Linked DNA regions of Schizosaccharomyces pombe. The protein of the gene in region 1 purifies or fractionates together with the protein of each later gene. This does not show direct contact. Each region holds a gene or a part of one and is shown in the gene's direction. Other genes may lie near its edges.

What was found.
Region 2: the proteins of int6 (region 1) and tif307 purify together in Schizosaccharomyces pombe (affinity purification with mass spectrometry; 3 studies listed by BioGRID, with this or other methods). This does not show direct contact.
Region 3: the proteins of int6 (region 1) and tif302 purify together in Schizosaccharomyces pombe (affinity purification with western blotting; 4 studies listed by BioGRID, with this or other methods). This does not show direct contact.
Region 4: the proteins of int6 (region 1) and tif308 purify together in Schizosaccharomyces pombe (affinity purification with western blotting; 2 studies listed by BioGRID, with this or other methods). This does not show direct contact.

What each region holds. Positions count from the first base shown.
Region 1 is NC_003423.3:938,116-942,403, reverse strand, and holds int6 (translation initiation factor), read left to right. Parts: upstream 1-2,095; 5' UTR 2,096-2,142; coding exon 2,143-2,176; intron 2,177-2,232; coding exon 2,233-3,704; 3' UTR 3,705-3,783; downstream 3,784-4,288. Other genes in the region: U3 snoRNP protein Nop56, read left to right, coding at 86-1,579. UniProt on the Schizosaccharomyces pombe protein: Component of the eukaryotic translation initiation factor 3 (eIF-3) complex, which is involved in protein synthesis of a specialized repertoire of mRNAs and, together with other initiation factors, stimulates binding of mRNA and methionyl-tRNAi to the 40S ribosome.
Region 2 is NC_003423.3:1,770,968-1,775,127, forward strand, and holds tif307 (translation initiation factor eIF3g), read left to right. Parts: upstream 1-2,035; 5' UTR 2,036-2,055; coding exon 2,056-2,066; exon of another isoform or gene 2,067-2,107; coding exon 2,108-2,945; 3' UTR 2,946-3,580; downstream 3,581-4,160. Other genes in the region: long-chain-fatty-acid-CoA ligase Lcf1, read left to right, coding at 1-1,282.
Region 3 is NC_003424.3:4,308,976-4,313,676, forward strand, and holds tif302 (translation initiation factor eIF3b (p84)), read left to right. Parts: upstream 1-1,585; 5' UTR 1,586-1,603; coding exon 1,604-3,781; 3' UTR 3,782-4,086; downstream 4,087-4,701. Other genes in the region: kinesin-5 family plus-end directed microtubule motor, bimC subfamily Cut7, read right to left, coding at 1-1,001; pan1 (actin cortical patch component protein PanI), read right to left, coding at 4,246-4,701.
Region 4 is NC_003424.3:986,780-990,430, forward strand, and holds tif308 (translation initiation factor eIF3h (p40)), read left to right. Parts: upstream 1-1,581; 5' UTR 1,582-1,617; coding exon 1,618-1,643; intron 1,644-1,682; coding exon 1,683-1,789; intron 1,790-1,880; exon of another isoform or gene 1,881-1,968; coding exon 1,969-2,909; 3' UTR 2,910-3,087; downstream 3,088-3,651. Other genes in the region: mitotic and meiotic (sporulation) septin Spn2, read left to right, coding at 3,471-3,510, 3,560-3,634.

The sequences.
Region 1 (4,288 bases):
CAAACTTTTGAATAGTTCGCACAAATTTTCACCCACAGCACTAACGCCGAGTCAGAATTGCGGCGTGAAGTACTACAAGTGAAGAATGGCTGATTACTTGTTGTATGAGTCTGCGACAGGGTATTCCCTTTTTGATGTCGTTGGAGCTGATCAAATAGCAGCGAAGACAAAGGAAGTGCAGTTGTCTCTTCAGGATATTTCAAAATTTGGTAAAGTGGTGCAGCTTAGAAGTTTTATTCCTTTTAAAAATGCTGCCCATGCTTTGGAAAATGCCAACGACATTTCTGAAGGCGTTTTGAATGATTTTTTGAAAAACTTTTTGGAACTCAATTTGCCGAAAGCCTCAAAGAAGAAAAAGGTGTCTCTGGGAGTCCAAGACAAAAATTTAGCAACGTCTATTAAATCCGAAATTGATGCCATTGAATGTGACACTTCTGAGCTTACCCAGGATCTTCTCCGTGGTATTCGTTTTCATGGTGATAAACTTCTCAAGCAACTATCACCCGGTGATTTCGAAAGGGCTCAGCTTGGTTTAGGACATTCATACTCTCGCGCAAAAGTGAAGTTCAATGTTAACAGAAATGACAACATGATTATCCAAGCTATTGCTATCCTTGATCAACTTGACAAGGACATTAATACTTTCGCTATGCGCATGAAAGAGTGGTATTCTTGGCATTTCCCTGAGCTTTCGAAGATCGTTGGAGACAATTACAAATACGCTGTTATTGTTACACTGGTTGGTGATAAAACCACCATTAACGACGAAATGCTTCATGATCTGGCAGCCGTTGTAGACGATGACAAAGATATTGCTCAAAGTATAATCAACGCTGGTAAAGTGTCTATGGGACAAGATATCTCTGAAATTGACCTCGAGAATATTCTATCTTTTGCTGAACGTGTTATTAAACTTAGTAATTATCGTAAACAGCTACATAACTATTTGGTTCAGAAGATGAATGTTGTTGCTCCCAATCTTGCTGAATTAATTGGTGAGATGGTTGGTGCTCGTTTGATTTCTCATGCCGGAAGTCTAACTAACTTGTCAAAATGCCCGGCTTCTACGGTACAGATTCTAGGTGCTGAAAAGGCTTTGTTCCGTGCTCTGAAAACCCGTGGAAACACGCCTAAATACGGTATTATTTACCATTCTAGTTTTATTGGAAAAGCTGGCGCTAAAAACAAAGGCCGCATCTCTCGTTTCTTGGCTAACAAATGTTCTATTGCTAGCCGTATTGATAACTTTAGCGATGCCCCAACTACGGCATTTGGTCAAGTTCTTCGTCGACAAGTCGAGGAACGTCTCAACTTTTTCGATACCGGTGTCGCCCCTACTCGCAATAGTATTGCAATGGCAGAAGCTTATGAAAAGGCATTATCGAGTGTTAACATAGACGGAGACGAGGAGGTTGACATTGACGTTGAAGAGACTGTTGAAACCATTTCAGAAAAGCCGAGCAAGAAAGAAAAGAAAGACAAGAAGGAGAAGAAAAAGGAGAAGTCTAAGAAAAAGCGTTCTGCCGATGATGCATCAGAAGAAGTCAAGAAAAGTAAGAAGAAAAAGAAGAGCCATTGAGACGTTATTTTTATTAGGATATAACGGGGACCATATTGCTCTTGCATATTTAGAACAACTTGTAATTGAAAAATTTGCTATAGATTATGGGCGTAAATACTGTAATATTACTAAATCGATTGATATCGAGCTTATCATTTTGATGGATGGACGTGTAAAACTTATCTCTTAGTAAGCATTTACATTTTATTAAGTAGCATTTATGTATTATTCGTATAAGAAGTGCTATTTATATCGAAAGTTAAAAAAATATTAGAAACCAGTATTTGACAATAATTACAATTTAAGTAAAGATCAAGAATCGGATAAAAATTTGTCTTACACATTGATTTACATTAGCTGGTAGTAAGTTCGAGCTTAATTAGTTTTATGAAAAACTATTGGTTAAAAAAAGCAAAAATATCATTAAGGAATTTAATATTTTTTGTACGAACATTGCTGACCTACTATTGTCATATTGCTTTTCAGTACTGTAGTCTAAGGGGGCTACTACTAGAGTTTTGGGTGAGTTGTGCTATCCTCCCCACACCACGCACTTTTTTTTTGCGTGAAACATATCAGATATGGGATCCGAGCTTAAGAGTACAAGCCCTTTAGGTAAGCTAATTTAGATTTATTTTTAAATACAGGAGAATGTTTTCTAACCTTTATAGCGGTCAAGTATGATTTGTCGCAAAAAATTATGCAACACCTTGACCGCCATCTCATTTTTCCTCTATTGGAATTTTTATCTTTAAGACAGACTCATGATCCAAAGGAGCTTTTACAAGCTAAGTATGATTTGCTTAAAGATACCAATATGACTGATTATGTGGCCAACTTGTGGACTAATCTTCATGGGGGTCATACCGACGAGGACATGGCAAATGCTTTTGCTGAAAAGCGACGCAGTGTTTTGCAAGAGCTCTCTGAACTTGAAGAAGAGGTTCAAGGAATTTTAGGTGTCTTAGAAAATCCTGACTTGATTGCAGCTCTTCGTCAAGATAAAGGTCAAAATTTACAACACCTACAAGAACATTACAACATTACCCCTGAACGTATAGCTGTTCTTTACAAGTTTGCTCAATTTCAATATAATTGTGGAAACTACGGTGGTGCATCAGATTTACTTTATCATTTTCGTGCCTTCAGTAAAGACCCTGAATTAAACGCCTCCGCGACCTGGGGTAAATTTGCTTCTGAAATTTTGACTGTTGATTGGGATGGGGCTATGGAGGAATTGGGAAAACTTCGCGAAATGGTGGACTCCAAAAGCTTTAAAGATTCTGCTGTTCAATTGAGAAATCGAACTTGGCTCCTCCACTGGTCCTTGTTTCCTTTGTTTAATCATGCAAATGGTTGTGATACTCTTTGTGATTTGTTCTTCTATACTCCTTATCTCAACACCATCCAAACCTCTTGTCCCTGGCTATTAAGATATTTGACTGTCGCTGTTGTTACTAACCAAAATAATGCAAATCAAAAACCTCGTAACCCTAGGCAATCTTATCAAAGAAGGATGCGAGATCTCGTACGCATCATTAGCCAAGAAAACTATGAATACAGCGATCCTGTGACCTCTTTTATTTCTGCTTTGTATACTGAGGTCGACTTTGAAAAAGCTCAGCATTGCCTCAGAGAATGTGAAGAGGTTTTGAAAACCGACTTTTTTCTCGTATCTTTGTGCGATCACTTTTTGGAAGGTGCTCGCAAATTACTTGCTGAGGCATATTGCCGTATTCACAGTGTCATAAGTGTTGATGTGCTTGCTAACAAGCTGGAAATGGACAGTGCTCAATTAATACAACTTGTTGAAAACCGTAATAATCCTTCAGTTGCCGCAGCTTCTAATGTAGCTGCCGATCAAAGTACTGAAGATGAAAGTATTGAATCTACCTCTACAAATGTTGTTGCTGATGATTTAATCACGGAAGCCGAAACTGCTACTGAAGCCGAAGAGCCCGAACCCGAGGTACAATTTGGGTTTAAAGCTAAGTTGGACGGTGAATCAATAATAATTGAACACCCTACTTATTCAGCTTTCCAACAGATTATAGACCGTACAAAGTCATTAAGTTTTGAAAGTCAAAACTTGGAGCAATCTCTTGCTAAAAGCATTTCGGAGTTAAAGCATGCTACTGTTTAGACAAGATTAGCAAATAGTTTAAAGGTGGAATATATTTCATACATTAAAAATAAAACATAGGAGTTTAATTAATTCGCTAATTTTGTATTTTCAAACAACTCGTTATTGTAGAAGATGACTGTGTACTTTCCTATTTAAAGAAACGTGCTCATTGAATATCGCTATTAGTATATTAATTTTGGAAATTTGAAACATGCGGGGATATTAAAAAAATATATATTATCTAAAATTTTTTTATTTTCTGAAGTGCATAAAAAATAAATAATTAATGCAAAAGTATTAATGCCGCTATCTCAACATGTAGAAAATGTGTCGGTGGAATTAACTTATGTATATATTAAATTGCTGTAATAATACTAATCCAATTGCATTAAATTAAATTTCCCTAATTGATAGATAAATAAACGATGCTGCAACGGTATTACCGTAATTTAATCGAAAGACTCGCTACAACTAATATGTAAGTTTGGTGTTTAAATTTCATATCAAACCAGTACACCACGAAAGCTTGAGACAGCATCCGTTTCCGTGCCACCAACATTTATCAACGCAAAGATATCTCTTGAAAAGAATAGATTTTTGGT
Region 2 (4,160 bases), 830 kb from region 1:
TACCGGTTTACCTAAGGGTGTAATTTTGAGTCACAAGAACATGGTTGCAATTGTCACTGCTATTGTCAAGCACGTTCCTGAAGTTACCTCTAAAGATTATCTTTTGGCCTACCTTCCATTGGCACACATTCTCGAATTTGCGTTTGAAAACATTTGTTTGGCTTGGGGTGGTACCATTGGCTATGCCAACGTCCGTACTTTGGTCGATACTAATTGCAGAAACTGCAAGGGTGATATCAATACCTTCCGTCCCACTATCATGGTTGGTGTTCCCGCTGTATGGGAAATGGTACGTAAGGGTATCATGAGTAAATTAAACGCTGCCTCTGCTGTTAAGCGTTCAGTTTTTTGGACTGCTTATTACACTAAAGCAAAGTTGATGCGTCACAATCTTCCCGGTTCTTGCGTATTGGATACCGCTGTATTCAATAAAATTAGATCTATGGGAACCGGTGGTCGTTTAAGATACACTTTATCTGGTGGTTCTGCCTTATCTCCTGACACCAAGCGCTTCCTTTCTATCGTTCTCTGTCCTATGTTAATCGGTTATGGTTTGACCGAAATTAGTGCAGCTGCTATGGTTCAGAACCCTGCTTGTTTCAATTTGGACGATTCAGCTGGATCTCTTTTGCCTTGTACTGAGATGAAGTTAGTTGACTGTGAAGAGGGCAACTACAACTCTCACGGACACCCTCCTCGTGGTGAAATCTGGCTTCGTGGTCCCTCTTTGACTCGGGGATATCTTAACCGTGATAAAGAAAATAAAGAAAGCTTTACTCCAGATGGTTGGTTCCGTACTGGTGATGTTGGCGAATTGACTCCAGAAGGATTGCTTAGAATTATTGATCGTAAGAAAAACCTCGTCAAAACTCAAAATGGCGAGTATATTGCACTGGAGAAGCTTGAATCTCGCTATCGTACGAGCAGTCTTGTTTCGAATATCTGTGTATATGCAGATCAGACCAAGGTGAAGCCTTTGGCAATCATCGTTCCCAACGAGCCCGTCGTTCGTAAACTTGCCACTGAACAAGCCGGTCTTAGTCCTGATGCCTCTTGGGAGGAAGTTTGTCATAACAAGAAAGTTCGTCAACTTGTTTATGACGACCTTATTCGTATTGGTCGTAGTCATCATTTCGCTAATATCGAACTTATTCAAAACGTCGTCCTTGTTCCCATTGAGTTTACACCCGAAAATGGATTGGTGACTGCAGCTCAGAAATTACAGCGTCGCAAAATTTTGGATCGTTTCAAGAAGGAAATTGACGCCGCTTACGCCGAGTAAAGTCATTTAGATAAAATGTTTGCAGGATATTTGCCTTTAGTCTTTTATATATTTACCTCGACATTCTCCTTTAGTTGGTATGACACCTCAAATTTGCAACGCTATAAGTAATCAGCCGCCTTGGTTGGTGCTAAGGACTTTAACTTAGATTTGTTAAGTCCTTTGGGAATTCCTTTTCTTTTTTTCAGAGCATTTTCTCTTATTACAACAAAACATTTGTCCTTATTTAATCATGAATGCTAGATTTATGAATGCACCAAATTCCCATCCGGGTATGATTATAGTGTTTTAGCTAGATGTTCTTATACCCAGTTCAATGATGCTGGGTTTTTATTTTTTTATTTTGTATTTTGATAATATCTATATTAACGGGAATTGAGAAATTTTTTAAAGAGCTTTGTACAGAATAATAGAAGATGATGGTATTGCAAAACCTGGCTATTTATAGTGATCGGTAATAGAGATCTGCAGATTATGGCTTCAACTGACGATTGAATTGAGATGACCGGTGCGAAGTTTGTCCTGGTTATTAACGATCCCTTCAATTTGAAATCCACAATTTCATCCGCTTTTTCTAATAGTAGCAACAGAAAGCTTAAACTAATTTAGTCGCAAGGTATCATCTCCTTTTTAAGAAAAGTTCAAGTAGTGTACTGCAACGTAGACTGCTATGTTGGTATATCAAACTTCTACTAATGTATGTTAATTCAACACTACAACAAATTTTCTGGTGATGAAGGGCTCACCCTCTTCAAACATCTTTTGTCTATAAAATGAGTTCATCGTATGTAATATATTTTTTTGTGAAAGAAACTAACAAAGTAGGAAATCACTGGATTGGGCTGACGATGAGGACTATGGTACTGGATTGCCTTCGATTCAGACGTTTGATAATCCCGATGGCACAAAAACCATGATTGAATTTCGCATTGATGATAATGGCAAAAAGGTGAAGGTTACCAGAGTTATACGGAAAACCGTTATTACGGAGCGGGTGCAACACGCTGTGGCGGAGCGTAAGAAATGGAAAAAATTCGGAAAGGAAGCAGGCAAGAACAGTGGTGTTGATGCTAGAACCACTAGTGTTGGCGAAAATGTTCAGTTAAGACTTCAACTTGGTTGGACTACTACGAAGGAAGAGGAGCAAGATGAGGCTGCTTTGGCTGCCGCTAAGGTTAAGGCAAAGGGTAGCTCTGTGGTTCGTTGTCGTGCTTGTAAGGGTAACCATTTTACCGCTCAATGTCCTTACAAGAGCATTATTGGACCTGTTGATGAGCCTCCCTTGGATGCTAGTCCTGTTTCTTCAAGGGCTAGTGGTGCCTTGGGCGAAAAGGGTCGTTATATAGCTCCTCATCTTCGTGCTGGCTCAGGGCGTGAGAGTGGTGATTCTATGTTCAAACGTGAACGTGATGATAGTGCCACTCTTCGTGTCACTAACTTATCTGATGATACCCGTGAAGAGGAACTTCGTGATTTGTTCCGTCGCTTTGGTGGTATTCAACGTGTATATTTGGCAAAGGATAAGGAAACTGGTCGTGCTAAAGGTTTTGCCTTTGTCAGTTATTACGATAGAGATTGTGCTATCAAGGCTCGTGATCGCTTGGATGGTTACGGTTGGAACAATTTGATTTTACGATGTGAATTCTCCAAGCCTCGAGATTAAGTTTCTTTTAATTATATAAAAATTTCTTGAAATTGGATAAAGGTCTACGTATATAAAAAATTTTCTTTTTTCTTCCATAAATCGTTCCCTTATTTTCACCCATGTATTCAGTCTAATCCCTCGGATTGTCTTAACCACCTTACCCGTTTCTGAGAGCTTTCATATGTTATACTTTTTAATGCTTGACATTGTTCAGGCTCTATTATCCCTAATTGCATTGGGTTTGGTAGAATGCTAAAATTTCCTTTTTTGGGGTTGTATCTGCGTAGTGATCGTCCCATGGTATGTCTCATAAATCTATGCTAAATTGGAAAGGATCCTTACGTTTTGTTCCTCTGCTTTTGCTATTTAAAAGAATAAAATTAGGTTTCATTTACTTATCGTTTGTTTTCTTTTCCTCTTTATACTTTTTATATTTGAAATGGTTGCCTCTGAAAAATTTTTGAAATAACTTTTAGTATTTTGTAGCAATATCATGAATGGTTTAAAGCTGTACACTTGCCTTGATGATTGGTCTTTTGGTACCTTTTTTTTCAGATTGTGAAACAAATTTTTACGCGCGAAATTAGATTGCTGGTGTACTTGACGAGTTAAGAAAAAATAAGGGTTTTTAAACTGACTAATTTTAACTATTTTAGAAAATTTTTTTGTACTCCATTGTTATAACTGCTCCAAAACCATTTGTTATTTTTTCAGCATGTAGTGCTACATGGAGAGTGTAAGGATTCGCAAAATCCATTAATGTTGTAATTTGAAGCAACTTTCTCGTTTGTGTCTTCATTAATTACACCAAGGCTTTCTAGGTTAAGCTGAAAGAAAAGCTAATTTTTTCAACTGACTACTTAAGCAGTTTTGACTTTACCAATTCGACTTTCATTATTACAACTTATGCTGTACATTCTTTTTTTTAATATCTATAATATTAAATATTTATGAGATCAAGCGAAGGCCCCTTAACTCAGTTGGTAGAGTGTGAGATTCCAAATCTCAAAGTCAAGTGTTCAAGTCACTTAGGGGTCATATTTTTTATAAGTTTTTATCCTGTGTTCAAAGGCATAGCAAGTTTTAAGAACACATTTGTCATAAAGATTTAACAATATAACTCTCATATCCGTTGAAATAGCTGGTTCACTTCATACGATAGTATTGACTTTTAATGACCATTAATCTTTGCTAAGACGGCAAAGTAATATATACTACTATTAATTACATGAC
Region 3 (4,701 bases), on another chromosome or scaffold:
ATGTTCTCGCTTCCAGCCAAATCAACCATATGAAGTTTGCTGGCGCGCAGCAAGTCATCAGAGTTATTATTTATGGTAAGTGAATTAGTTTCATCTGTCATTCCCGAAGATACCTTTCTATGCAGAGTTATCGTGAAGATTGAATGACTACGAGATGAAAGATCGTTACACTTTGTAGCAGCAACTTGACGCCGGTGAGAGCCTTCACGTAACAATCGCAACCCATCGCCAGCATTTTTTATATAACTTTCTTCAATACCAGTAATAACAACGTTCCCTCTCCGCGAAGTATCTTCAAAAACACGAGCTGGCTTTCGCAATTCTTCGGAAACCAAAAGATCGCGAATTTCCTCGTTGTAAAGTTCATAATAGGAGCATTTGACAGCATATTCTTGATTACTGTTGTCCAAGGAGGAAAATAATTGATAAAGGGCACGAGGAATAAGGCCTGCTCCTTCAGACAAAATTCCATCGGAATCGCTAAGATCACCAGACATAGTATATGTTTTACCGGTTCCAGTTTGTCCGTACGCAAATATAGTACAATTATAGCCGTTCAATACTTGCTCCAGCATGGGCGCTACCGAATTTTCGAATAGCATTAACTGGTCAGCTTCAGGACCAAAGACTTTATCAAAGGCATACGTCTTCGTGACCAACATGGATGAAGGATCCGACTGGATGGCCAATTCAGCACCCATAGCGCCCGAAGTCGATACAGCAAGGCTACTATTGTCGCGTACTTCTTGGTCTGTACGACCACGAACACGGACGACTACGTTAATATTGGTTTCGTTCTCATCATGAAGTGCATGATCTGTCGGAGAATTAGTGTCGGAGCGATCTGGGTACCCAGTGTCAATAGTAGGAGGCTCACGTCGTTTCCTAGGATTGCTCGCAGAGCGGAAATGTGAATTTGGAGTAGAAACCGGGTTTTTAGCTTTCAACCCCTGCTTTCCTAGAAATTGTTGTGAGCCACCAGGTGCAACTCTAGGGGCCATTCGGTTTTATGAGTAAGGATTGTTACAAAGAAAGCGACAAGGTTGTTAATTTAAATTGCAATTCTGTTGTAAAGTTCAATAAACCACAATATAAAAAAAAGGGGTAAATTTAAAATAGGAAAAGATCGTAAACGTCTGTTTTTAGGGGTAAAAAGAATGAATAAATTGGACAATTGTCGCTCCTGAGTATGTTGTTGAATTGTTGTAAACAAGAACGAGGACTCAGACACGGTAACACTTGGAATGTCTCATTCCAATGTTTTGCAGTACAAATCAACAGTATAAAAAGAGAAAAAAGAACTTTTATGAAAAATCCAACAATTGTGCTAATACTAAAAATCAATACAAAATGAACGAACTTGGCAGATAAACTGTTGTCAGTAATGATAATAGTCAAAATCGGTAGAATGAGTTAAAATCTAAAAAAGAAGAAATATAAAACAGAATCAACTTTATTAGTTTATTTTAAATGATACCATGTTTTTTAAATTCTACTTTTCATTACTTTCAATTTTTTTTAAATTTCTCTAAAGTTACTCTTCGATGTCCCCCCAGTCACTGGGTGAAGAAACTTGACTAGAGACAACGGCACTACACCAGAAATGTCGGAAATCCTAATTGAGGAAATTAAGGATCAAATCGTCGTAAAGGACGAGGAAATCGATGTTTCTGAACTGGAAGTTAAGCTTAATGTAACTAAACCTGTTGGATATGACACGGTTGTAGTAATCGAAGGTGCTCCAGTTGTCGAAGAAGCTAAGCAGCAAGATTTCTTCCGTTTTTTGAGCTCAAAAGTCCTTGCTAAAATTGGAAAGGTTAAGGAAAATGGATTTTATATGCCATTTGAGGAAAAAAATGGAAAAAAGATGTCTCTTGGACTAGTTTTCGCCGATTTTGAAAATGTTGATGGCGCCGATCTTTGCGTTCAAGAGTTGGATGGAAAGCAAATTTTAAAAAACCATACTTTCGTTGTTCGTAAGTTGAATCAACTCGAAAAAGCTTTTAGCACTCCTGATGAATTTAGTTTCGAAGAACGTGAATTTAAGGAGCGCGAACATTTGCGTAGCTGGTTAACTGATTACTATGGTCGTGATCAATTTATCAGCTATTACGGTAACCGTGTATCTGTTAACTGGAACCGTAAGAGCGACGTCCCTGAACAGATTGTGGATCGTGAAAACTGGACCGAGACCTACGTGCAATGGTCTCCCATGGGCACTTACCTCGTATCACTTCATCTTCGTGGTATTCAATTATGGGGTGGGGAATCTTGGGGAATGTGTGCTCGTTTCTTGCACCCCTACGTAAAATTTGTCGACTTCAGCCCTAACGAGAAGTATCTTGTTTCATGGTCCTATGAGCCTGTTCGACTTCCTCCCATCGGACATCCGGCTCGTGAAACAATGCCTTTCACTGATGATGATGAAGGAAAACATTGCTTCGTTTGGGATATTGCCTCTGGTCGTATTCTTCGTTCTTTTAAGATTCCTCCTCAACCAGAAGGTTCAAAGGATGGCAAAAAAGTTATTTGGCCTATTTTCAAGTGGTCTGCCGATGATAAATACCTTGCTCGCGTTACTGTTGGTCAGTCGATTTCTGTTTATGAGACACCCTCCCTTGCTTTGGTTGACAAGAAAACTATCAAGATCGACGGTGTGCAAAATTTTGAATGGTGCCCAGTTTCAGATGCTCTCGGACGTGATTCCAAGGAGCAGCTTTTAGCTTACTGGACCCCTGAAATTACCAATCAACCTGCTCGCGTTGCCTTAATTAGTATTCCTTCAAAATCAACTATCCGTACGAAAAATCTTTTCAATGTTTCCGACTGTAAGTTGTACTGGCAGTCTAATGGTGATTATTTATGTGTTAAGGTTGATCGTCACACAAAAACTAAGAAATCAACATTCTCTAACCTTGAAATATTCCGAATTCGTGAGAAAAATATTCCCGTTGAAGTAGTGGATCTTAAGGATGTTGTTCTCAATTTTGCCTGGGAACCTAAGAGTGATCGTTTTGCCATAATTTCAGCTAATGATCAAGTTTTAAATTCTACAAATGTAAAAACTAATTTATCGTTTTATGGTTTTGAGCAGAAAAAGAACACCCCTAGTACTTTCCGTCATATCATTACTTTTGATAAGAAAACATGCAATTCACTTTTTATGGCGCCTAAGGGTAGATTTATGGTTGCTGCAACCCTTGGTTCCTCTACTCAATATGATTTGGAGTTTTACGACTTAGATTTTGATACCGAAAAGAAAGAACCGGATGCTCTTGCCAATGTTCAGCAAATAGGTTCTGCCGAGCACTTTGGTATGACTGAGCTGGAGTGGGATCCTAGTGGTCGATATGTTACTACTAGCAGTACTATTTGGAGGCATAAGCTTGAGAACGGTTACAGACTTTGCGATTTTAGGGGCACACTTCTTCGTGAAGAAATGATTGGAGAATTTAAGCAGTTTATCTGGCGTCCGAGACCTCCTTCTCCATTGACAAAGGAAGACATGAAGAAAATTAGAAAGAAACTTAAGGATTATAATCGTTTGTTTGATGAAGAGGATATCGCCGAACAGAGTTCCGCCAATCGTGAATTGGCAGCCCGTAGAAGACAGCTCATTAGTGAGTGGCAGAAATATAGGGATGAGGTTATTGCTCGGGTTGCGGAAGAACGTGCAATCACTGGCCAACCTGCTATCACTGTTCCTGCTGAAGAAGAAGAAATAATTCAGGAAACGGTTGAGGAAGTAATCTCTGAAGAGATAGAACCCGTTGAAGATTAAGGGCTTTACGCTACCTTTTGTCATAAAAAAATTGGGGCCTTCTTCGAAATCGGATGTTACTTGATTAAAATCATGATCTTGTTGCCGCAATTATGTGTTCCTGGACGTGTATTTGCGTTTCGATTGGTACTGTATGGGGAAATTTATATTTACATTAGTCCTTTTAAATGGAATTGCATTTGCGTTACATACTACTGTATATAAGTAATATAGCGTTCTTAATAGTTTTGTGAATGTCCGAGTATTATTTGACTCAAGAAAGTTTCTAAATTCATATTGTCTTAATGCACTCTAGAGATTTAAACATAAACATTTTATTGGTAAATAAAGTATAAACAAGCCAATTTAAAGAGATAATTGATAGCTGCAGAATGAGAAAATATATCATTCATAAAGAGCGCATAAAAATTAGAAACACTACAAAAACTCAACGTTTGATATGAGTACAAACAAAAGTTAAGCCACTAAGACAAATTCCCATACCAAGCGGATGAATTGCCGTCAGAAGCGTCTAAAACTCGTCCTGCTATGGGCTTGCTTTTATCCGTCGTAACCGTTTTTTTCAACCGAGTGCCAGTATGAATTTGTTGAAGTAAAGCACTACGATCTCCTGGATTGGGAACAGAAGGAGCCGATGAAGCAGGAAGAGGTGGTGGTGGAGCAGACGGTGGACCGGCAGGCATTGGCGGTGCAGATGGAGGTGGTGGTACTGACATAGGAGGAGGTGGTGGTGTTGGAGCAGACATTTGAGGTGGTGCCGCCGATTGAGGTCTTACAGGAGGTGTTGAAACAGGATGAGCAGGAGCCATACCACCGAATAATTTGGCGGCTAAGGCAGCTGCATCTTTACTTGAACGTATGTCATCTTCGCTATCTTCTTCTTCTTCATCACCATGTTGACTCCAATTGTCAGAATCGTG
Region 4 (3,651 bases), on another chromosome or scaffold:
AATAAGTTGCAAATTCTCTATGGATTCCGACGTTATCCTACCTTGTCAGCTAGTAAAGGCGTGAGTTCTTTGTAATATGATCAGCTTTGATCTGAAACGATCCAGCAAGAACAGTTCAAATGTACGAGCCCTATCGACAAGAAAAGACAATTTAGAAGTACTTCTAAGTTTCAAGATCGTATTGATGAATTAATATGAAGTTGGTAATGTTTGTAGCTATTCTTAGGAAGAGGTGTGGGATAAAAGAACCGCCTAACAGCAATACGTACGTACATAGGTATCAGCTTTCCTACACAAGGAACAAGTACGGCATCAACATAGGATCGGTAAATAAGTAACAAATGAATATACAACGCCGTTATAAAGTAACCTTAATATATTCACGTAAGACACCTTTAAAGCAACGTTCAGCTAATGATATTTTTACAATCTTCAACTGAAAACAATAAACAAAGTAATCATCAAAGAAAAAACGCAAACAATGACGTTGGCATGACAACGAGCATAATTGACACCTTTCTTGACGTTTTGACGTTAAATAGCGTGATTCCGTAATCTGCGTTATTCTATAAACAAACTAGCAATACATAAACATACATGATCAATGTTGCTCCCACAAAGCATGGACTTGACTTTCCAATTGAGTGGAAACGTTCGTGTAATACTTTACTACTAACGAATGTACAGCAGACAATATTAAATAAAAAACGCCGCCAAGTAAGCTATCCATCTAACTCCAAATACCATACAATTGACTCCTTTAATAAGAAACATAAATCAAACAATCTAACGGAATTTGAAATCGTTTCATTTATTCACTAAAATCTACGCTAAAACATGACACAACTTCATCTAGAAATTACATCTATGTCATCAAACGACACCACAGTTGTAATATAATAGATGAAATTAAACACGTCAGAAAACACCAGCTGCCCTACATAATACGACCAAAAGGAAACATATCATGTAAGAGATCATCGCATAGAAAGACAGCAAAACAATTAGGTAAAAAACCTAATCGAAAAGCATGCCTTCAAAGAATTAAAAGTCCTCACTCTGAGGGCAACGGTGCCTCCTATCATCATCCGTGTTGAGTTCTGTGGCTAGGTTAGGAAACCCAAGCCGGACGTATACTATAGAAATGATCCTATGGAGTATCGTCGATAGTGTTTTGTTGAGGATAATGACCCGTATATATAGTAAATATAACGGAAAAGCAGTCACATTCATTTCCAATCAACGAATAATGTTGAACTTTCAAGTATAATGCAGTGTCAATTACACTATATTAAAAAGACTTTGCAAGGCGGTGAAGCTGCTCTTAAATTACAATAAGCATGAAAATCATATTTCGGTAAATTAGTAAAAGAAGTCATGAAAATAGAGCTTAAGGCCGAGAAAACAAAAAAAAAATTTACAAATTTTTTAACTAGTTAGAAAAGGTTTAATAAAACTGGTAGGCTCCTCTATTCTATAACTTGTAATCGCCGACAGCCATGGCTTTAAAAAGTTGCTACTTGTTGTTACTTGTCATTAAACTGGTGAACACTAACTCCTTTAGAAGTTCGTACAGCAATTTGCACTTCAACCAACTACTTGGCAGACTTAAAAAACATGTCTGATACAACTTCATTGAATGTGTAAGAATGACTAAGATATATAAATAACTAATTCAGTAGTCCAGAATTGGAGTCTCCCCCTATTGAGCGGGTGGAATTAGAATCTTTACTTGTAATGAATATCATCAAGCACTGCCGTGATTCTTTTCCTAATATGGGAACAATTGGTAAGTGTAGTCATTGGAGAATAAGTTTTCCCTATTTTTCGAAATGATAAAACTTGCAATTTTTCTGCATCAAAGATGCAGCTATGCATTTGTCAGCTCAGTAATGCTCTACTTAGTGAAATTTCTTATCAACCACAGTTTCTCTCTTGAAATAATATTTTTAACTAACTTTCGTTCAGGTCAGCTTGTTGGTATTGACATTGATGGTGTTTTACAAGTCAGTAGCAGCTTCGAGTCTCCGTCTGTTCTTGAAAATGAAGAGTCTGCTGTTAACAAGTCTGTTTCCGGTAAAGCACGCCAAGCTCATACTGAGGCGATGCTTAATCGTCTTCAGTACATTGGTGCTGTTACTGGTCACGTTGGTTGGTATTTGGGAGCCTATGTTAGTTCATTCTTAAGTAGCCCCTTTTTTGTAGAAACGCAATATGCTTATCAAAAGGCAAACCCCAACAGTATCGCTTTTCTTTATGATTTGTCTCAATCTTCTAATGGAACTTTGTACATGCGTGCTTATCAGTTAACTCCAGAGTTTATGGCTGCCCATGAGGAAAAAACTTGGACCGCCTCCTCCCTCAATAGCCACAACTTGACTCCTTCCAATGTTATCCGTGAACTTCCTATTGTTATTCACAACTCTCATTTGGCTACCTGTTTGCTCCACTCTCTTAGTGAGCCTCCTACTCCAGCTTCTACCCTAACCGCCGAAGCTGCTCTTGAAGATTGTGAAAGCAACTTACCCTTGACTGAAACGTTCAGTAACTTTGAGGTTAGTTTGGGTACCAGATATAGAAAGAATATTGAGTTATTATTGGAGTCTACTGATGAGTTTCATTATGAGCAAGGAAATCTTGGATTTCATCAACGTCAACTCGCAAGAGAGCAAGCTAAAATTCAACAGTGGATTGCTAAGCGTAAGGCCGAAAATGCAAATCGTGCTGCCGAAAATTTACAACCTTTACCTTTAGACGATTGGAAGCGAATCTTCAAGCTCCCTGCGGAGCCTCGACTTCTTGACTCTCTATTGATTAGCTCTCAAATTATGAAGTCTACTCAAATAGATGAACAAAGTTCTGCTTTCTTGTCTAAGCTTGCCGGTGTACGAAACGCTTATGCTTCTTAAGCTACTGATTGGTAATAATCGCTTAAATTTAGCGCTAATTATTTGTGAATCTGGTTGAAAATTTTTAAGGACTTTGATCTCTGTGAAGCGGTTGCATGTATTTGTTTATAAAAAATGGAGCATTCTTCTTCACTCTCACTAGTTATACCTCGTAGCATTAAAATAAAAGGATCTACTTAATTATAAAAGTTGTTTTGGTTTTCTTGATACAGCATATTGGTTTGTTGAAATACAATGTGCAAAAATATACCATGATTGTAATTATAAGAAACAGTTTAATCTTCAATAGTGCATTCAGTTGCTGGTAATCTACTTGTTTATCGTATTCGAGTTTTAGGTTACATTGCTAATTTAATATATTTTCGGGCCCTTATACAACATCGAAACACTTTTCTATTAATAAAATATATTGTTAAATTTTGTTTTCTCTCTGTTAGATTATTTAAAAAAAAAATCGTAAATATTGCCGAGACCTTTTTGTTTGTTTTGACTTGCTTCACGTTACAATGTTGACTTGGCCAAAACCAACAAATTCCAAATTCATTCAATTCGCAACTTGCAATGGAAGTTCCTTCTGCAGTTACCCTAAATAATTATGTGGGTATGAAAACAAAAGAATGTTGATAAAGAGTCAAAACTAATGTTTATAGGGTTCGATTCTATCACTTCGCAAATTAACCGCAAGTTAATTCGTCGTGGTTTTCAATTTAATGTAATGGTGGTTGGTACGTATTATTTTTAT